4 linked regions of the Arabidopsis thaliana genome follow. The protein of the gene in region 2 interacts with the protein of the main gene of each other region in a pairwise test. Each region holds a gene or a part of one and is shown on either strand. Other genes may lie near its edges. The genes, in order: NIA1, AT5G56220, AT5G19960 and AT2G19650.

Region 1 (6,064 bases), on a different chromosome or scaffold from region 2:
CTGTGGATCTTGAATTCTCTTTATAATTAATAATTAAATATGGAATCATGGATACCTTCATTTTTAACTTTCGTTACTCACTATGAAAGTCTTGTGTGACAAAAAAAAAGATCCAATGTTTTTTACATATCACCATTCTCCATAATATTATTACTTGTAAAATGCGTATGAACCACGAATCTTGTGGGGCCGAAACGAAAATCCATTTTAGATCTTTTTCCATTTTTTGTATCGAACGCATACTGTAGCATCATTCGTCTCCCTTTGACATAATGATATGCGTATCTTTGCATTAAACGTTTATTTTCATGCATGTTTGTCTTTTTTTGTTGTCACTGACGATTGAAAGCAACACGACCACAAGTGGTAACTAACTTAAAACTATTAGTCTTATACGACAAAACGTTTACCAGGCGTGATTAAATGAATAACACTTGATGTGAACTATAACTAACTTATTAGACGACCAGTAATAGATGACACGACACATTATGGAAGCATAATAACTCAAATAGAAGATGTTGTGACATGAGTCCTGACATGCAATAACAAAAAAAAAACGATAATATCAAGACACAAGAAGTTTGAGTTACAATAAGTTCATCATTTATCATCATCATCATCAACAACATAGATCATAATTAAACACAATTTTATACAATATACAATTTGGAGCTCTGATAAACAACAACTATAACAAAAGTGCCCAAATAACCATGTATATACACACATAAGCGATACTTGTTATCAACTTTCGAATTTCCAATAGCACAGAACTTGAGCAAATCTAGAAGATTAAGAGATCCTCCTTCACGTTGTAACCCATCTTCTCTAGATTTGGCTGCAACGCAAACTGAATCATAGGCGGTGGTCCGCATGCGAGTGCTAGCGATTCGCCTTCCAAACCTTCAGGGATATGTTCCCTAAGCACAGCTTCAGTTATAAACCCGGTACTGTAACTCCAACCTTCCTTTGCGATTTCAACGACGTACCAAATCTTTAGCCTCTCCTTATGCTTACTAGCCCATCCTTCTAGCTCTTCCCTCACAAGAATGTCATCCTCGGTTCTGTTTGCGTAAACCACATACATCTCGGTTTCGTCCTCTGGATCACTCAATATAGATTGAATGATCTGGTAGATAGGAGTGATGCCTGTTCCTCCGGCGAGCATTGCTAGTTTCTTGGCAAACTTAGGTTTGCCGCTGACCAGGAAGTTGCCTTTGCCTTTGTACTCGATGTGCCCTAGTGGACCTTTGATATCTATCATTGACCCGATTGGTAACGAGTCTAAGTGTTGAGACATGAGTCCACCATTGGGAAACCTTGGATGAACGTCTTTGAAGTAAACTTTGACGACGAGGTCGATATGACCAACCGCGTCGATGGCGCTGGTGGGAGTATAAGCTCTGAGACAGAGTTTGTCGTTTATGTTGGCGCAAACGAAAACGTGCTTCCCCACGGGTAAACCAAGCTGTTGATCTTCTGATGGTAATGCGAATCGGAACTTACGAACGTCGTGCGAGATCGAAGTCTTCTCAATGAGCCTAACCGGGATTTTCTCACGTGGGTTGACCAAAGCAATGTTCTTTTGAGGAGTTAGCTCTTTGATTGGAGCTAACAAAGGACCAAAGTTTGAGGCACCATGAACTGAGACGTTAGGGGAAGAGTCGTAGCCAGTGGTGATGAGTTCACCGATACGGTAATCTTCCAAAAGCTTCTTGGCTTTGTCAGAGTGAATGGCTTCAAACTCTTCGGTGCAATCTGTACCTGCGTTTATCAGGATAGAATCTGTGCCTCCTGGATGATCTTTCAAGAAACGTGTACAGTCATAGATGTGACCGTGGACGATGATCCATGCAGAGTCAGCAGTGTTGTGTTTTCTAACTTCAGAGATTGAATACATCTTCGAGGCAGTGTTCATGAAAGGAGATGAGACAGATTTCTTCAAGGTATTGTTGGATTCTGAGGAAATCTCAAGCTGACGCTCCTTTGCCATCCACCCACCCGACTGGTTTCCGGGTCTGGTCGGGTGTTCGAAAACTATCCCTATCTCTCCTCTATGAGGCTTGCACACGTTGGTCCTAATCCTGAACCAGCAATTGTTCATCATCCCCTGTTTAACACAAGTCAACGTCGTTATTGCTTTAGTCAACATCGTTAAAAAAATAACAATTAGCTGGAGACCCTAGACTTAGACTTATGTAAATTTTATATAATTTCGATTTTAATCTACATAATTGCCCCGCATGAAGGGAGATTATAATACTTAAACGCACTACTAAAATGAACTGTACAACAGAGACACTTAAAGAATTGGTCTTTAGTTCCATGTTGATTAGTGCTCTATTAAAAGATTCCGTAAGATTAGTATTGGTAGGTATCACGTTCAAAAGAAAATATCATCAGTAGTTCCAACTTTGTAGGACGAATACAAATATCAAAATCGAATAGTTTACTCAAAAACAAGATTAAACTATTTAAATCATATAGTAAAGAATAAAGTAAACTAATTAATTCTATAATTTAAAAATATCAAGAGAGAGGATTATTACCATGAGGTTCCAGATGAGTTTATCAGGCTGAGTATTGAAAGACTCGTCCCAGGCTCGAACCGCGACGTCTTTAGCACTGAGCAGATCAAGAACCTCAACGTCAAGTGACCAGAAACACCAGCACCAGAATTTACCGTACTTGTTCGGTTTCTCCTGGTGGTCAAGCTCACAAACACTCCACGTGTCTCCTCCGTCTAGAGTCACCTCAACCCTCGTTACCTTCTTACCTCCTCCTGTTTATTTCATCAATACACCGATCAGGATTTTAATTACATAGTAAAGAATCCTTTTAACTTTTAACTAAAGCAAAGTTAAAATAAATTACCAGAATAAGCGTAGCCTTTTAATGTGTACGGCTTCTGAGTAGTGAATGCATTAATCGGTAAAATCTCTGCGTGACCAGGTGTTGTAATCACCGAGTTTATATTAAGCTCGTTGATTATGTATTCAGGCTTATACCACCAAGCTGTAACAAAAACAAGTAAATAATATTAGCATCGGTAACTAAAATGTAAAAGAAGACAAGGGTAAGTTAATAGTTTACCTTCGGAATTTGCCAGCTCAGCATCAACGAGAGAAGGAAGGACTCGATTGTCTTTATAGTGATAGTAACTGTCAGATTCTTGAGGCGTGACGATGATTCTCTTTAACCATTTAACCATCCGACCACCGATGAAACCCGGTACAATGACCCGAACCGGAAACCCATGATCCGGCGTTAAAAGCTCGCCGTTTTGCATATAAGCTAAGATAATATCTCTAGCCGGATCCATCGCCATCTCCTTCTTAATACTTGTTCCGTATTTAGATCCGCCGCCGCCGGGAAGATCCTCCGCTCCTTCGAAGCAAACGTTTAACGCGCCTCCTCTCCGGCTATAGATCCCGCATCGACGGAGGATTTCGCTTAACGGAATACCTTTCCATAGAGAAGTAGATACTCCGGCGGATCCCCAATTGAATCCGATCGTTTGTTTCACCATGTTCTGTTCCTTGCGGCGATTACCGGCGCAGACGAGTGTCACCGGGAATTCGCGGCTGGGGAACTCGGAGATTAGCTCTTCCATGGTGAATTTAGCCGGACGTTTAACGAGTCCGGTAATTTCGATTGACCAGTCTGACCAATTCGCTTTGGGAACTGCACCGTGGTTGCGGACGTAATGGAGTGGAACTGGAGTGATGAATCCATGGTGCATAAGACGAGGAAGAGGTGCTTCGGCGTTGAATGGATGTTTTCCGGTGAGACGGAGCATGGATGAGTTACGTTGAATCCAACTATCAGCCGTTGATTCATCTCTCGGATCTAAAATCGACGGTTCTAAATCGCTGTTTGATTTTTTAACCAGCTCTTTGTAGTAAGGGACGTTACGGTTATGGCTCTCGTCTTCGTCGTCGCTTGAGGAGTCGTCGTAACTGTCTACGACGGTGGTGATGACTTCGGTTTCTTTGACGATTTTAGTTTCGGTGAGGATGACGTCGAGAGTTTGGTTTTGGTGACGGTGGCGGTCGAATGAGCGAGGAGAAGGAACGAGAGGAGGTTTGAAGGCGTGAGCGACGCCGTTCATGGTGGGATAATGGCGGTTATCGACGGAGGTCGCCATGGTTTAGTGATTGAACCGGTGATAAGAGAGAGATAAGCTATTTTTTTGGTTTTGGTTTGGTTTGTGAAATTTTTTGGTTTCTGAATGAGTAAATGAGAGGTTGTATTTATAGGGGGCGTTACAGAGATGAGTAAATAAAATAATTAATAAATTAAGAGAGAGGAGAAATTGACAAATGTGAGTTTGTGTGGTCGCTGAGTAGAGGGACCCACCTACCTAGATCCTAAGGTTTGGCCTTTAAGGCGGGAGATTTTTATTTCATAGGATATATATATTTGCTTTTAAATACTAATGCGATATGAAGTTAAAAATAAAATGCGGGTCTAAGGATTCGATCCGTGGGCAATATCGTGGGAGGGTACTATGATTATGATACCTCTCTCACTCAACACTTAACTTTAATACAAAGAAAGAAAAAAATTGTGACAAACATATGCATAGTTTTCTATGGAAAAAAATTATATCGTCAATAGCCAATTCATTTCTTTACGTTAAGTGTTGAAATGTTTACTGGTCTTGATCATAATTTAGCTAGTTATTGATAATATAGTTTTGTTAAAAGTTTCACATTTATGGTGTCGGAATTGTTTGTGGCCATTTAACAAGAACATATTATTTATTTTAGCGTAAACCACAGTGGAAAAACCAATTATAGACTGCAAAATATATGTAGAATATGAAAAAGCATGTTCATGCATGTTTATTTCTTTAGAGTTAATGTACTCCGACACTGAAATTGGAAAAGTCAGAGAAACCCTATTGGAGTCTATACGAAACTTCCAGGAAGTACTTTATGTAATAAACAAAAATATTGCACTTAAAAAAGAAGAAACACATGCCTTCCCTTGAAGCTATAAAATTTAATAAATTGAATACGAACAACAATCGAGTAACCACGGGCAAGATACACCTTTCTCTTGAGGAAAAAAAGCTGAGATAAACCTTCCCTTGGATCCACAAACATGGACTCTTGTATAAGCAATGCTGAGTTCTTTTTTCTCTTCCTCACTCACTACTAGTTCTTGCTAGGGAATGTTCTAGCTAGCTAACGTAACGTACTTACGACATAGATATAAAAAATACCCATCAAAAAAAAAAAAAATAGATTTGTCTATGCAAAATACTGGGTATTCTCTTTTACAATTGTAAAGTGCGGATGCAGCGGAGAGTAAATTTTGGAGAAACTTGAATTTTCAATCGAAGCACTAGAATGTTTTTTTTATCAATGTGTCACGGCGACAAAATAGTTTATTTATTTGGAATATGCATAAGTTAATGTGTGCCCCCCAAAAAAAAATGCATTAGTTAATGTAAAACAAGAACAATATTACCTAGTTTTATTCCACAAATATATGATATGGCAACGAACTTTTCGATAATATTGAATGATGATTAAAGACAAAAGTAACACGTAAACTTGCTCATAGTTTTGGGAAATTGTATGTTAATGAATGCAAAATATCATAGATGTATGACTCAAGATTAAAAGTACATCACGTGTACATACATATTACATAAAAGGGTATTAATCAGCATATTCACAGATAGATTTTGTCTATATTGACTTCAATTTCTTAAAATCAACGTCAAATTAGACGTCAGTGTAATAATAAGAAAATGGAGAGTGAGAATCCTGTGGGCTAAAACATATATGTATGATATGATATTGAGCATATTGTTGACTAGTTTAATATAGAGAAATTGTATTAATTAATTAAGTCGAGAAAGTAAATATCTCGAAGATTTTTATGGATTACATGACGATTAAGAAGATAAAGCGCAATTAAGTATAAACTAAACAGAGATTATGGTATAAAAAAGGAGTTTAGAGAGAAGACTTTGGAGGCTAAGTGGCGCATGGGAACACCAACGGCCAAGCAAATACACGAACGGGGCAACCAAACAAAGGGACGG
Region 2 (6,351 bases):
TGGTCTCACAGTGAAGGAATCAACTTGCTCTATCCATTCTTCTTCACATGTTACATCTGATTTCAGATACAATGTATCAAGTCTTGCTTCAAGCAAACATATCTCACAACAGCTTTGACAGTTTTGTCGTGAAGCTTGAGACCAACTTGTTGATCTTAAAGTCACAGCTTTTAGTGTTTGACTGTTAGTTATTAGATACTAAATCTGAAAGCTTCAAGAGATCATATATTCTCTTGATTGTCAATTCAATACCTTAATAATCTGCTTTTGCTTTGTTGGATTCTGACTAACTTTGTGTTTAACCAAAACCAGATAAAACCTAAGCTCAATTTGTATGACAAGTCAGAATTTTTAGTCCTTTGAAAAGGAAACAAAACTGAGCAGTGAACTCCGGGGACCAGTAACAGAAGAGGGGAGAGTGACACTTGTTGGCAAAACCCAGACACTGATTAAATTGCATGTTTACTTAAGCCCATACCTATTTTTCTGTGTTTGTCTTTGGTCCCAGCTTCTTACACGAGTATTTGTCCTTTTTCAATTCTGTTTGTTACTGAGATTGTGTTATCTCTTTTGTTTGATTGGTTAACTTATCGGTTAGAGCTTTTTGGCTTGAGAATTCAATGCGTTTACAAAGAGACAATGATCAATAAGGATGTTGGTAATGTACATAGGAATAAGATTTGTTCTAAAAAAGGTTAAAAATAGCCATTACATGATTTGATGTCTTCAACAAAACTGAGCTTAGAGTAGTAATGTGGAAATAATAACCAGGAGAAATGTTTTTGTGTGTGGTTTCATCATATCTTGCTTCTCATTCTGACTAACTTTGCTAGTGTTTCTTGAGCAGCCAAAGTGAGATCATGGTTATGGCCAAGCATCACTGTCCTGATACTGATACAAGTCCTGCAAAGTTCCTCTCCACTATCGAAATGTCCGCCTCGTAGCAGCAGCTTTGCTCTGGTCTCCAGCAATAAAGCTTTCAACAATGTAACATCCTGCCACACGTATTCATCGACTTTCTTGTTAGTCTTCTTCTTCCAACAGAGCGAGCCTTGGCGCCAATCTTGTATCTGAGACACAAATGATTTCTCCACTTCCTCTAACACGTTGGTGCATACTTTTAGGAGCTCCAGCGCGGAGTTGCACCTTGAGAAGGTTGTGAAAGCTGTGATTGCTAAAGGAAGAGCTGTTCTCTTGATGTAAAGTACCATATCCATGGCTTGTAGTTGAACCAAAGGAGGTTCTGATTTGAATCCGAATACTAAGAAAGCTGAAGCCCATAGGTGATCAAGATTCAACAACGGGTTATCGATTTTCCTCACGCCTTGAACTGTTGCCTTTGGTGCAAGGATGTAGTCTCGTCTCCTCGCGAAAGTTTGAGTTATCGGATGGAACTGAATCCAACATCCAGGTTGTCTATTTGTTAACCTCGCTAGTCCTAATCTGACTAGTAAAAAAGCAGCATCCTCTTCGCTTCTGCGTCCTAAACCACAACCACCACACCAAGCAAATGTGTGACTCAGACACTTGTTCCATTTGCTGAACCGGTTTCCACCTGTGGGCATGTTCTTAGCAGCTGCAGCTAATAAGTTAACCGGTATAGGGACAGGAGCAAACCAAGCTCCCACGAGTAGCATTTTCAATGAGAGAAGGTTTCTGTTTCCCTCAGCTTGCTCCAAAACAGCCAAACTGAAAGCTAAAACCTTTGCAACAAATGGATTGGACTTGCAGTATTGCTCATCATTTAAGTTCAGAAAAGGCGAGGCCGAACGTTCTTCGATTTGAACTTTGTTTACAGCTTCAAAGAGAGCAGAAGGCAGAATTGCAAGCTCTGAAAGCAATGATCCAACCACCCAAAGACCATAGCTCAACCTTCCCAATTTCTCATCGAAAAGCTTGAGGACCTCCACCTCCTCCACCGGGTAATCTTTCTTTCTTCTTCCTCTCAGTAACACCATTGCATCAGACGAAGGCAATATAGAAAGCTGCACAGTGTCAAAGGTCATGACTTTAGGAAGTCTAGTAGTGATCAAAACATGTGTTCCTCCGGTGTTCCTCGGAATCAAATCATTTAGATCTTTCCCTTCCCACCAATCCTTCTCTATCTCAAGATTATCAATGATCAACAGATAAGGCATGTCTCTGAATAACTCACGCTTTATTCTCTTGAAAGCTTCAAACTCTTGTTCATCAAAGCTCCTTAGTCTACCTCTATCCTTCTCAGCATCTGCACTAACATCAAGCCCCAAGCTGAATGACAGATTTAACAGGTTCTGTCTAAAGTATCGAGCTTCCCCTCCGACCCACAAAACCATCTTATACCTCTGAGAATACCTGTAAGCGAATTCAAGAGCTAACTCTGTCTTCCCAATCCCTGGAACTCCATTTACACAAACAACACTTGTGCTACTTTTGCAGTTACTATTGTTTCTACACTTCTTAGTCTTCAACAATCTTTTAAGAGAGTTTTTCCCACCATTTGGATCACTCCAAGCCTCACTTCTTGAATCTGAGCATCTTCCAAGCTCCAAGCTAATAAACTTCCCATTTCGAGTTGGTACAACATCTGATTCCTCATCTGCAAGTCCTTCAGATTGTCCACTTGCTTCTCCTCTGGTACTTGGTGTTGTAGACTCAAGATACTCTCCATTACCAAATAAAGCCATCTCCATTTCAATGATCTCCTTTTCTCTTCCAAGAAAAGATCTGTTCCTCGGAAATGGAAGCTCATCAATCCCTTCCACAATCTCTTTATCAGCCACACTCTTCCTCCCAAGCTTTGCCCTGAGAATCGTCGCAGTCTTTCCCACACAGCTTCTCCAGTTACTCTCATTAGCTTCTAGTTTAAACTCATGAGACTTAATCAACCCATCAATGGCTTCTTTACACTCTTTATCTATGGCATTGCAGTTGAGAAGACCCATAATCTCAGAAGGACCAGTTCCATAGAAAATAGGAATCAAGTTCTTCTTTTGAGCAAAGAACCTAACTTCCTCCAAGCTAAGGTAGTTGAGCAAGCTGGAACAAGAGACAACCACAATCCCATAAGTAACAGAACAGATAACTCTGTCGGCGATCTCATGACTCTGTGTGTCCGAATACTTAGCTCTGTCAGCAACGAAACAAGCGATTCCCTGAAGCTCAAGCTCTGACTTTAACCATTTGCAGAATCTCACCAAGTTTGGGTTTTGTCCATGAAACCCTATGAAGACATCAGAGCTCCTGAGCTTGGTGTTAGTTGCAGGTGAAGAAACAGAGACTTTAGCCAAAGAAACCCTAGGAACAGGGAAAGAGAAAGAGATCCTTGGAGGAGCAGGATCTGGAGTACAAGATGCTGATAACTTGAGCTTCCGATCTGATGGTTGTTCATCAGAAAACTCGTACTGGTCAGAAGGAGGAGTGTAGGAGCTGCTTGGTACATCATCAGATTGTGAGCCTTTGTAAGAAAGAGGCGGTGATGGCTTGTGAGTGGTAATGGAGGGTGTTGTAGCTCTTGGGGATATATAAGGAGATTGCAAAGCGGAAACAAAAGCAGAAGATGGTGGGGACACAAGAGAAGGTGAATAGAAAGGAGAGTTTTTGATACTTGGAGATGAATCTGAAGCATTATTATTTGCTTGAAGAAGATCTTCTTTACCTTTCTTACTTGAAGAGCTTGCTGGTGATGAAGTTCTTATGGTTAAACCAACTAAACTTGCTTCTTCTTCTATTCCCTTCATTACTCCTTTTACTTCTTTCACCAAACACAAATTAAACTCAAATGAAAGCTCTCACCTCTCAGCTTCAAAAGGTTATGTCTTTATCTCTCTAACTTGGTAATGAATCTCATAATGGTGTTTCTCTGACAGATGATATTGAAGTGAGTGGGACTGAGAGGAGATGAGTCAGAACATGAATGCAACAGTTGATGCAGTTCAATGAGATTGAGGTAAAATCTGAGAAACTGCATGTGATGTATCTAACTCTTCCATTTTGTGGGGTCCCTCTTCTACAACACTGTTGAAACCCAATTTGTGTTTTCTTCTTTTCTTTATTTAATTTCTCCTCCTCCTCTTACTTCAGATTTGACCAACAACACCAAGCCAGTTTCAGAGAGTCTCTGCAACAATGGAGAGGTCACGGGTCAGAAGAAAAATCATTGCTTTACATTGAGTTTGTGGTCTAATGTTCATCATCATTAACAAGATTGAATCTTTTTACTCTCTAGCTAGGACCAACAATGAAAAAGCAACATATTAGTCAAATCTTTAAAGATGATTTCTTAAAGACTTACCCTTTTGTTTGATCTTTTTCAGACACAAGGCAAAAAAAGACGTGTCACTTCCCCTGCATATCTTTTCATTACCAAGCCTGTCTCTCTCGTCTATCTTTCTCTCTGTGTTTCTTTTTGAGGAAGAGCAGAAGATTGTGATAATGAAGAGGGAGAAGAATCTGGAGTTGTGAGTTGGATCTGAAAGTGCTTATGGACATTAATTTGTTTTTAAAATAGTGATTAAAGAAATGGTTAAGAGAGAAGCAGCCTGGAGATGGTTAATGTCTAAACATGTACCAATGTCATTTTATAATGATCACCCACTTAATCAAAAACCATTTTATAATTAACTTAAATTTATAATCTTGGATTCTCCTTTATGTCATTTGTTTTTAGCTCTCCTCTCTCTCTTCTCTCAACCTCCTCTGCATTTTCTGGAAATTTTTAATGAGTTTTTTTTTCTTCTTTAGTTTACCAAGAAGACTCCAGTTTTTATTTAAGATCGAGTTATTAGAGAAGTATAAATATAACATGGGTTACATTGGATTTAAGAGAGTTAAATAGACAAGAGTCAGATTTAAGACATTGAACTTTGAGCTTAAAAGAGGTTGTAGGATTGAAGAAAGGGAACCATTTTCAATTTTCTTAGTACTTTGGTTGTTTGTCATTTACTGTTTGTATTTTGTGGTCTATAGAAAACTCCAAACATTGTACTATATTGAGTATTGAATCATATAATACTATCATTGCTGCAATTAATAGGAGAAAAATGTCAAGAGAATATTTTACGTAAAACATATTTTGGGTTCTAAGTAAGTGAAATTCCTTCCACTATGTGATTATGAACTAAATTTCTAACAATAGTACTAACATAACATAAGTAGTAACCTAGTAGTATTTGACAATTTTTCTTATCAATAACATTTTAGTATATTGTAATTTGTAAGATAAACTCCTCATAATCGAGTAATTATCTTTTTTTTTTAATTCAAGGTGGTGCATGTATGTATGTGTACACTGACACAACATTTGAAATCTGATTTCACAGTGGGAATTGGTCCAAGACCAGTCCACTTGTGACTTTTTATTTATTTACCCCACACATTTTCACATTTATCTACAATCATAAGGGACTTTAAAAACATACACATTACACACACACACACACAAAAACAAAAAATTTACCATCAAAATCTTGGAGTGTGTGACGTATGAACAAAACAAGATTGATACTGTATGTAGAAAAGTCTCGTTATCAAACGATGTGGAAGCGTTTATCAAACGCTCAAGGATAAGTCTCGTTGTTTCCATACCTAAAAACGGCAACCACTGTATATAGAAAAGATGTAAACGTCAAAACTGAAGAAGTTAGAAAGACGAGGGTAAATTAGTAAAATAGTCGAGATCATATTAAAGTCCTAACGGTATATCACACACCGTTGAATTCCAGATCCGACCAGATAAGATCACGTCGAATCGAACGGTCATAAAATATCCGAGTAGTTGCTGAAGTATCCAGCGGTTTCGCCACGTGTCCCGACCATGTCGCTCACACGTTCGTATTTCTCTATTACAAAAAAAAGGAAACGAATCAAAATGTTTTTTGATCGTAACCGGGAAAAAAAAAACGATTTTTCGCAACGAAACTTTCCACAATCAACGGATATAGAGAGAGATCTCTGCGAATCGTTTAAATCGTCTTCTAATTTCGTTTCGGTCTCTTCGTAAAGGATTCACCTTTGAGTGGTTTTGCGTTCCATTTTATTAGGTACGTCAAGCTCGAAACTTTCGATTCATTGGCTTTCGTAAATGTGATTAATCTGGGAATTGAGTTGAATTTAGAGAACCCTATTGCTTCATTTTTGTTTTCGTATTTTGGTTTTATTGAATTTGCCTCTGGTTCTTACTGGAATGGTGGTTGTTTAGTCTTGAGATTGATCCCATGTGAAAAGTTAGTATTTTTGTGGCGTCGTCATGGATTTGGAGAGTGAAAGCTCTGTTCTTGAATCTGTTGAAGATAATAATGGTTTGATTGGTGATCTTGATAAAGAGTTGAATTCACCGGTTGAGACTTCTCCTCTTATATCAAAAGGATTTGG
Region 3 (4,730 bases), about 16 Mb from region 2:
CTTGTTGTAATCTGTCAACCAACAAACATATGCTGACAAGTTAAATTTTTGATGCATTGGCCAAACTTCCATCACAATACTTTATGTAAGCCCACACAAAGGAAGAACAATTCAATAGATCATAAATTTTACCACAATGAAAATGCATTCACTCAAGTTTAAGTATTGAAACAATGGAGACCCAACAGCGCCAATGTTGGACACAAAGCCAAGGGAAAACATAGATCAGACCTCTACATGAGTCGTCATAGGTTACATAAACGGATATATTGGGATTTTGGAGCTCGGGTCAAATTACTAATATGTTTATGCTAAAGTGCATTTGGATGGAATAAGTCCTTGCTGCAGTCAATGCATATTTATGTACACTATCAACATGAAATAGAAAATGGTAGATATTTTATTTGGTAGCAAAGATTGGCCAACCGTTTCAAAGTGAACTAAATATGCAACAAATTACTAGAAGAAAACTGAATGAAAATGATGAGAATAAGAAAATCCTGCTTACCGCGGTGATGGGAACCTGTTCGAATCTTCAACTCCTCAAATGGAGGAGGGCCATCACCAGCTTTGCTTTCCTGAGATCGAGCCAAACTAGCGTATTTTTTCTTCATCTGCCATTCTTCAGTGAGTGATTGCACATAACCGCCCAAGACAGTCACCTCTTTTGGAGTCAAACATACTAGACCATCACGTATCACAGCCTTATTTTCTAGACGTACCTGCCAACGAGACAGTACAAAATATCAACAATACAAAATGATTTATGATTTGCATATGACACCCTCTGATGCATGACAAACACATATGTGCACTAGCTTTCTATTGATTTAGATCTTAATCCAAACTATTATATTTGCATGAGACTTTCAGAAACATAGTAAAGGAGAATTTGAATTAGATTGATATGGAAATGGAACTACCTTAGTACCAGGAGTGACATCATTGTTAATCGTTGGTATATGAGAGTACTCAAGCGCGGATATTTCGGTCTTCCCGTCAGTCAGAGCGAATTTTAGCACTCGTTTACCAGTGGAACTTCCCACAAATTCCTCTGCGCTACTTCTTGTAACATCCCTAACATAACTTATCTATGCTCACAAAAGAAAACAAATTAACACTCAACAGCTTGAATCAACTGCAACAATTGAGCATTCTGAAACTAGTTTAAATCTAAGTATATCAGTGAGAGTGACTCATTGAATTAGCGAAGACCTAATGCCAATTGTTACTGACTTTAGCTGATTGAAGCAATGTACCTGGAGAACTTTGGGGCCTTGAAGATGAGAACACCTGCGTAACTCGGTCGGGTCCGGGAGGGATTTACCTCCGATTAACTTAATATCCATGTTAAGCAGCTCCGCCTCCACTGACTCCACGATGGCGCCTGTTTTATTGCCGCCGCCGATCAAGGAAGAGATTTCAGTGACCAGGGATTTCAAGTATTCGACGTCTCTGAAGCACCAGCCCCGACTAGTTAGGGCATTTATCACGACGGTGTGGGTGTGGTCGCCGGCGGAGGAGCTTGATGTTCCCACCATTGCGTTGATGCTCTTGTCGCGCTAAACCAATTGGGGAAGACGAGATTTTAATTTGGAGAATTGATTTTGTTATGGTCAATATCGAGTTAAACTAATTACTATTCACTAATGATACTTTTTGCATAAAATCGTTTTGATCAATAAAGAAGAACATTTTTAACAGAAAAACTAGAAAAGTAATTCGAAAAAGTCCTATAAAAAAGGTATTTTCCGGTTTCGTTTTAGTGGGCCTAATGGCCCATATGTAACACGAAGATTTCTGACAGTACGACTTCTAAAGTACTTTGCTTTCCTTGTTGAATTCCGACCAAAGTCGATAAAGAGTTATGACGATGGACGATGGTAACTCCGTCTACGTCGGCGGCCTCCCTTACGACATCACCGAGGAGGCTGTCCGTCGCGTCTTCTCCATTTACGGCTCCGTCCTCACCGTTAAGGTTAATTTTCTCTTTTCAATATCCTGATTTAAGTTTCTTAATTAGGATGATTCAAATTCGTTTCGTGATTTTGAAGTTCCAATCTTATTGTATGATCTTATAGATGATAAGCTTTAGTAGATATCTATGTAGAAAGACTGACCAAGTGATTTAGATAACATCCAATTGCTAGTTGATATATCTTACATGTGAGCTGGTCAGAGTGTATATTGACATATATGTGTACTATTTGAGAATTCAGATTGTCAATGACCGGAGTGTAAGAGGGAAATGCTATGGCTTTGTTACATTTTCGAACCGTCGATCGGCTGATGATGCTATCGAAGATATGGATGGAAAAGTATGGTTCTACTGCTAAAGTTTTGTTCTTTTGTTTATATTATCATGTACGTGGTGTGTTTATATTGTTGACGGTATTGAGCTCGTAATCAGAGTATTGGTGGGCGTGCAGTGCGTGTGAATGATGTGACAACAAGAGGTGGAAGAATGAATCCAGGTCCGGGGCGGTTACAACCACACGGTGGTTGGGATAGAAGTCCTGATAGGAGAAGTGATGGTAATTATGAGAGGGATCGGTATAGTGATAGGTCTCGAGAACGGGATAGGTCTCAGGATAGGAGAAAAGATCATCGCTACATAGAGAAGGAAAGAGCTTATGAGCATTCACATGATTTTGAGAGGAGGAATGATCATGATATGGTAGATAGAAATGGTTATAAGGAAAGAGTTTTCGATGGTGATGAAGGAGATTGGCGTGGGGATAGGTCTTATGTGGATAATGGTAGGGGAATAAATGGGACCAGTGCTCACGAAGGAAGGAGCCAAGAAACAAAGAGAGAAGATAGGTAAACTTTTGTTGAAAACAATGCAGTTGTAGACTTCACATTGGATTTCAAACTTTTAGTGTTCCTCCTGTTTCTTTGAATTGTGACATTCGTTGTTCTTGTAAAATTGGTCTGCTAGTTTGAATGAGTCAAAGACTGGGATGCTAGTCTTAGTCACGCCGCTAAACCAAATCATCCACACCTGTTGTGGTTAAGTTTGATAAATTATCATCGATTTTAGTGTAATGGATTTGAGGAAGTTTCTTGCTCTTGTTGGCTTTGTGCATGTTACCGTTTGAGGAATGTTTTGGCTTGCTTTGGTTTTGTTAACATGTCTAAATCTTTGTGTGTTCTTGTTGGATTGACAGTACCATTCTTGATGGTGGACGTGGCAGAGATCACTTCTCTAATTCAAGTGGAGATCATCAGGTAAAGATGATTTTCTTAGCCATGCAGTGTTTGCATAAATTCATTTTATAACTTGCAACTTCTATTACAGGTGAAAGAAGATCTGGAAGCGCTGATTAAGATGCGTGAGGCGCTTCGAGATGAGGTATGAGGTAGTTTATCTGTGCATATAGGCTGTTGGTAGATTTATTTTACATAATCACGAGTGATCCAATGAATTTATGGGCTACTTTCATTTTTAAGGTGATGGTGATGGAAGAGAGACTGGAAGTAAAAGAAGTAGTGTGCTCAGAGCTACAGAAGAAATCTAAGGTATGTGTCTTCTATATCTTACAACCCCAAAATGTTTGACTACAGATTTGTTCTCATTTGAAATGGTTAAGACAGAGATTAGAAGATTTGTTGATCAATGAAAAGAAACTGGTTTCACAACGCCGAAAAGAATTGGCAAAGGTAAGCATAGGTTCGATTCCTGTTCTAAAAGTCGGTTTTGTTAGGTAATGTTTGTTGACATTTGGTCTATGTTTGTGGTAGCTACATAAATCATATTCAAGGGTTAGAGAGTGCACGGACAACCTGAAAGACTGTGAACAAGAACTCCAGGTTAGTTTCTAAATTTTCTTATTCTAGTGATTGTCATTGCATAAAGATTAGGCCTAATCGAAACAAGTGTCTATTCTTTTCTCGCAGTTGCTTGTTAATTCAGCAGCTAGAGAAGGCGTGGCAGGTGCTGATGAAGGATTGGGACACGGGTATCCGTAACACGGTCACCCGCATGTATGATCTGTTTTGTCTAAAGTGTAGCTTTGATATGTCTTCTCTTTGTGACTTTCCGAGTTTTTTTCTAGTCGAGCTACACTAATTTGGTACATATTTACTTGTTTTGGCAAGTATGTATTCATTTCATTCGGGATGTATTATTATCATACGAACATGAACTAAATAATTATGTTTTCAACTTGCAACTGAAACCAAACAATCACCATACAAAGTGTGGAAGTAAAGTCTCAAAGCTTTGTTAGAGAAGAAGTCCTAGATAGTACTTGGCTATAGTTAAAATATTTTAGTAGATGAAGTTGACAAATTAACTATTTCTTTTTGTAATGTTTGCTTTGTTCTTTACTAATATAAAGATACTTGGCTACAGTGAAAATGTTATAAAAAGAGAGAAAAGAATAGACAGTTAAATTATTAAGGTTGACACAACCATCATCTCCACCGTCCATTACTCGTCAGCCGAATGTTTTTTATTTGATTAAGATGTGAACATCATCCATTGACCTATCGTTGCTTGTAAAGCCAAGTTAGCCAACCAACACTCAAATCATCATTATACGTGACGATCTTAAGAACAACCCCATTTAGGATACTCTATATGTTTGTCTTCTCATATAAATTTCATTATAGTAATATTAAGGCATTATCCATTATTCATATATATTCTTCAAGGCATGTTTCGTACATCTTATAGCAAACCAGTAGCAGTAAATAGCATAAGCAAATGTGTTCTTCTTGTCGCA
Region 4 (4,505 bases), on a different chromosome or scaffold from region 2:
AAACTGCAGAATTACATGGCTTGATGATGTTTGCATTGTTAATCTCTATTACTCTTCAGTGTGCTCAGTGCCTGAAACCATAGCTTCCTTGATAGGGATCAATGTATTGGTAAACCAAATTGTGTAATAGTTTTTCCATAAAATAGATTCAATAGAACCAGTGTAACAAAAAATTATTAGGGGGCTCTGTTTTAAGGTCGCAACATGACGGTGACACAAACATTTTTTAGTGATTAACTTGTTCTCATTCTGTTCCAAGTTCAACAACACAAACTGAGTTTTTTGGCTTCTCTATCAGAGAACTAATGTGATTCTACAACACAACCTGCTCTGACTGACTTACTCTGCTATGTTCTGTTTTGCTCTGCTCTGTTCTCACTTCCACGTCTCTGTTTTTGTCATTGACATTTCGACTTGTAGGAACTTAAACATTTAGTGGATTGACTGGCAAGATTGATCCAACCTTTTCCAATCTTACATCCATAAATAAGTTGATATTTTTTCTGGTTTTTATTTGGCAAACACTAATGCACCCTAGGGTTCAATGAGATATATATATATTACACTAACACAAGTACACAACCAAATGTTATTGTAGGGACTTGTAATAATTTAACAGACCCAGATTCCTCACAAATTCTACCAAATTTGCGAGTCATTCAAGCTAGCAAACATTATCATCTATAAATAAATAGTTTTCTAAACATAGTAAAGAACATAATTTTAAAATTCGAAACGTTCCTGATAAATTTTCTTCTCACATTCTAAAGAACAAAAGTATAGATCAGCTCCGTCCTCGGGAAGCGTACGAACGAAAGGGAGCTTGCATCGAGAGTTGCACACGCAGCAAAGTGGTCTACAAATAGAGTGGTTGGATACAAATGTTCCTATCCATGTTAACGCTCCTGGCATGGAATATGCGTAAGTATCTATAACGCAGGAAATATGCAATGTGATCCCACACTCATTGCATGTATAGAACCATTTTTCTGGGTTCACAGTTGTTTCGCATGCTTCACACCAATATTTGCCAGCCACGCCCATTTCGCCATAAGATAAGAAGAGAGGATGATCGTCGTACCTATGCCTCATTACCTTTTGCGGTAAAATAGCACACTTGAAGCACAAACCAAATTCACAATCATCGCAACTCAATTTCCCGTCTCCATCACACTCACTACAACGTTTGGAGTGATCTGTAGAGTAGTGTAAAGGATGTTGATGGCTTTTGTGCTCAAATGGTTCTGTAACTGTAGCGCACCGTACATCTATCCTTAATTCCTTAGATTCATAGGAGAAACCGGTGAACAGTTGACGGCAAATACTACACCTATGTAACAAGTAGGTGCCATAATTTGGGGATAGTTCGAGTGGCTGGTTGTGGCACACATGACGTTTCTTTAAAGGAAGCTTGGCACATTTTTCGTGGATTATGAAATCGCATCTCTTTCTCGCGCAAGCGTAGAACGGTTCTGAACAAATCTGGAAGACACATGCGGTACAAACTACACTTTCTGGTAGATTCCAGCCACGGTAAATTCGTAAGTTATGCTTATGGCCGTAATGGTCTATCGTGTTGTCATCAATCACCTTGAATGGCGCAGTTTCCTCTTCTTCGGGTGTCCCTTCCAGTTCGATCATGTCCCATACATCCCTTCTGGTTGCGCATCTTGAATGAACAAAATAATCAAAACATTTGGAGCAAGAATAAGCCCCGTAGAACCCATCCACATTTTTACGACAAACTCTGCATTTCCCGTCTCCATGTCCGAGGCGAGGGGTGTAAGAGATGCGGTGGTCGTGGCGGTTGATGTTTATGACGCGAGGTAGATCGATACATTCCCGATGAATCATGAAATTGCACTGAAGACAGAAATAAGGGCTACGGTCACCTAGCGTCCCACAAGCATTGCAAGTGAAGTCAATGCGTCTTGGAACAAGGTGAAGTTGATGTTCATGGGTCCTCGGGCTTTTAACAAGAACCGGTGGTGGGTTTTTCATACATGATCTGCATATGCTAAAATTACAAACACCACAGTGGTGAAGCTGGCGATGGATTCCATCAAACTCCTCGCGGCAAAGAAGACATTTCTTGTCGGCGTAACCAGGGACTTCATATCTAAGTGACTTGAGTGGGTGTTGGGGGTGAGAAGTGTGGTATGCTTCTGGACTATTATGATCGATACAATCCAGACTGATGAAAAACTCGCATTGATGACATGTGTAGAAATGTTTCCAGCTATTATGTTGATGGCCACACCCTTTGCAATCTCTGAGTGTTTCGTGCGCTTCATGGGAGAGTTGGAGTGGATGCTCGTGTAGGTAGGAGTTTTCAGCAAGAACAAGTAGGGCTGGTCTCCTCGCGCAAATCAAATCCAACTGGAAATCACATTTGTTACAGCGATAACCGACACTGAAAAATTCTCCACAGAAACTACAATTAGAAACTCTGGTATGTAGGAGGATCAGCTTGAGAGGATGGACTGGATGGTAAGGGTGGTCGATTTCTGGTAACGGCTTGGCGCACTCTTCATGGAACACAACATCACATCCCGGCTCATTGCATCGGTGTCCTCCGTAAATGTAACTGCAACCGGGATGTTTGGAAATGAAGCTTGTATTATCTTCATCGGTCGAGTAGCATCCTTTACACTTGGTGAACTCGAAGCGTGTAAAAGGTATCAACGGATGCTCATGAAATGGTAACAATTTTTCAAGGCGGGATGCTTCTTCGTCCATGCCTTCATTAAACAAAGCTAGAAAGTTTTCCATGGTGATGTTTTCTTACTTCCACCAAAACACAAAGCTCTTCTCTTCTGCACTAGTTTCAGACTTGGTTTCTTGTTTTTCTCTCTTTCTTTTCTTTCAGGATTTTTTTTCAAGTGGTTTATCATTTTCAGACTTTGCAAATAGTTAATATGAATTCGCACCACAGAAATGATTCTTTTCATTACTGAGATTGAGACCACATGTGTTGGCTTCATCCTTGCATTATTTAATTAACTCAGACCACATATGTTGACTCTGCAACTATTGTGTCCGGCCAAAACATAAATAATTGAATGAATACAAAAAAGGTTTTTTCTTGCATTAAATGGAATAGAAGTTTATGGATAGAATAGTTTAGAATTTAAATGGATGGAACTGTACATTTTGTGGAAAAAACAGTTTGAAGTCTGAACCACACAACTCCTTGGCCAAGTAGCTTTGGAGGTAGACTTTGCTGCATTCAAGTCTCTGAAACCAAAGTTTTATTATTGTATTGCATCCACTAACTTTTATGTAATTTCAGACCAAAAGATTTGTATTTTTGTCTTTAAGACCAGGATTGGGCCAATCTTTGTTTTTTAATTTTTATACAGCCAAAAGTAAGTTCTATTTCCACCATCAGATTGTATAACCCATTTGAATAACACTATAAAGTTAACATATATATACCATCTGAAACATTCGAAGAATCATTTGTCAAATCACATGTATTCAAATCACTCAGAGCAAATTTTGATTAATAAAGAAGTTAAAAAGACATACTGCGTATACATGAGCTGCTCTTGCTTTAGCACAAAACAGAGACCAGATTCCAGTTCCAGCTCTAATGTCAAGAAACTTGTTCTTTTAAATATCCTGTTAAGAAATTCTGTTTCTAAGATCATTGAGACTGCTGCTGACTGGATTCAAAAGATTGATAATTGTGGAAAAAGCGCATAAGCTTGAGGTTAAAAAAAAACTATTGTAAAACATACTTTTGGAATTAAATGGTACAAAGTTTTTCTTCATTAAAACATGCCTTACCAATCACTACTAGAGTAGTTATTAGAGCGGTTGAAATTATAATAACAGTTTAAAGAACAAATGTATAAAACAACATCGGCTTTGGAAACGACCTTAACAATGGAAGGAAGCTTGCATTGAGAGTTACACACATAGCAAAATGGTCTACACATAGAGGTGTTGGATACCACCAAGTCTTCCTCCCATCCTATTTTGGAACCTGGCATATAATATGAGAAGTCTCCCACAACGCATGAAATATGCAATATGACACCACAATCATTGCATGTATAGAACCATTTCTTCGAATTCACTTTTGTTTCACATGCTTCACACCAGTATTCTCCATCCACACTACTTTCACCACACGACAAGTAAAGAGGATGATCGTCGTATCTATGCCACTTTACTTTCTGCGGTAAAAGAGCACACTTGAAGTCCAAACTATAGTCACACTCATCACAGCTAAAGCTTCCTATATCTAGATCCATGTTTTTGCCACATTCCGTACAAGACTTAGAACTACGTTTCGAAAAGTATAAGGGATGTTGATGGCTTTGGTGCACCAATGGTTCTCGAATTGAACCACATCGTACATCTAGAGTAACCATACGAGTAAGACACTCGTACCTGAAACCGGTGAAACTTTGCCAACAAAGATCACATGAAGTTTCGTCTGAAGTATCATTTGTGACTAGGGTAAATGGTAGGTTGTCGCAAACATGCCGTTTCTT

Evidence for each region.
Region 1: the proteins of AT5G56220 (region 2) and NIA1 interact in a two-hybrid assay, tested with the Arabidopsis thaliana proteins (one large-scale study listed by BioGRID).
Region 3: the proteins of AT5G56220 (region 2) and AT5G19960 interact in a two-hybrid assay, tested with the Arabidopsis thaliana proteins (one large-scale study listed by BioGRID).
Region 4: the proteins of AT5G56220 (region 2) and AT2G19650 interact in a two-hybrid assay, tested with the Arabidopsis thaliana proteins (one large-scale study listed by BioGRID).

The regions. Positions count from the first base shown.
Region 1 is NC_003070.9:29,235,218-29,241,281, forward strand, and holds NIA1 (nitrate reductase 1), read right to left. Parts: upstream 4,268-6,064; 5' UTR 4,151-4,267; coding exon 3,097-4,150; intron 3,019-3,096; coding exon 2,878-3,018; intron 2,786-2,877; coding exon 2,553-2,785; intron 2,114-2,552; coding exon 788-2,113; 3' UTR 504-787; downstream 1-503. UniProt on the Arabidopsis thaliana protein: Nitrate reductase is a key enzyme involved in the first step of nitrate assimilation in plants, fungi and bacteria.
Region 2 is NC_003076.8:22,752,239-22,758,589, reverse strand, and holds AT5G56220 (P-loop containing nucleoside triphosphate hydrolases superfamily protein), read right to left. Parts: upstream 4,618-6,351; 5' UTR 4,274-4,617; exon of another isoform or gene 4,100-4,273; 5' UTR 3,720-4,099; coding exon 798-3,719; 3' UTR 533-797; downstream 1-532. Other genes in the region: WIP2 (WPP domain interacting protein 2), read left to right, coding at 6,227-6,351.
Region 3 is NC_003076.8:6,742,162-6,746,891, forward strand, and holds AT5G19960 (RNA-binding (RRM/RBD/RNP motifs) family protein), read left to right. Parts: upstream 1-1,716; 5' UTR 1,717-1,867; coding exon 1,868-1,978; intron 1,979-2,219; coding exon 2,220-2,318; intron 2,319-2,355; exon of another isoform or gene 2,356-2,410; coding exon 2,411-2,823; intron 2,824-3,170; coding exon 3,171-3,231; intron 3,232-3,301; coding exon 3,302-3,355; intron 3,356-3,453; coding exon 3,454-3,522; intron 3,523-3,597; coding exon 3,598-3,663; intron 3,664-3,744; coding exon 3,745-3,813; intron 3,814-3,900; coding exon 3,901-3,972; 3' UTR 3,973-4,220; downstream 4,221-4,730. Other genes in the region: AT5G19950 (tudor domain protein (DUF1767)), read right to left, coding at 1-11, 509-722, 924-1,091, 1,260-1,541.
Region 4 is NC_003071.7:8,492,932-8,497,436, forward strand, and holds AT2G19650 (Cysteine/Histidine-rich C1 domain family protein), read right to left. Parts: upstream 2,962-4,505; 5' UTR 2,773-2,961; coding exon 724-2,772; 3' UTR 538-723; downstream 1-537. Other genes in the region: AT2G19660 (Cysteine/Histidine-rich C1 domain family protein), read right to left, coding at 3,789-4,505.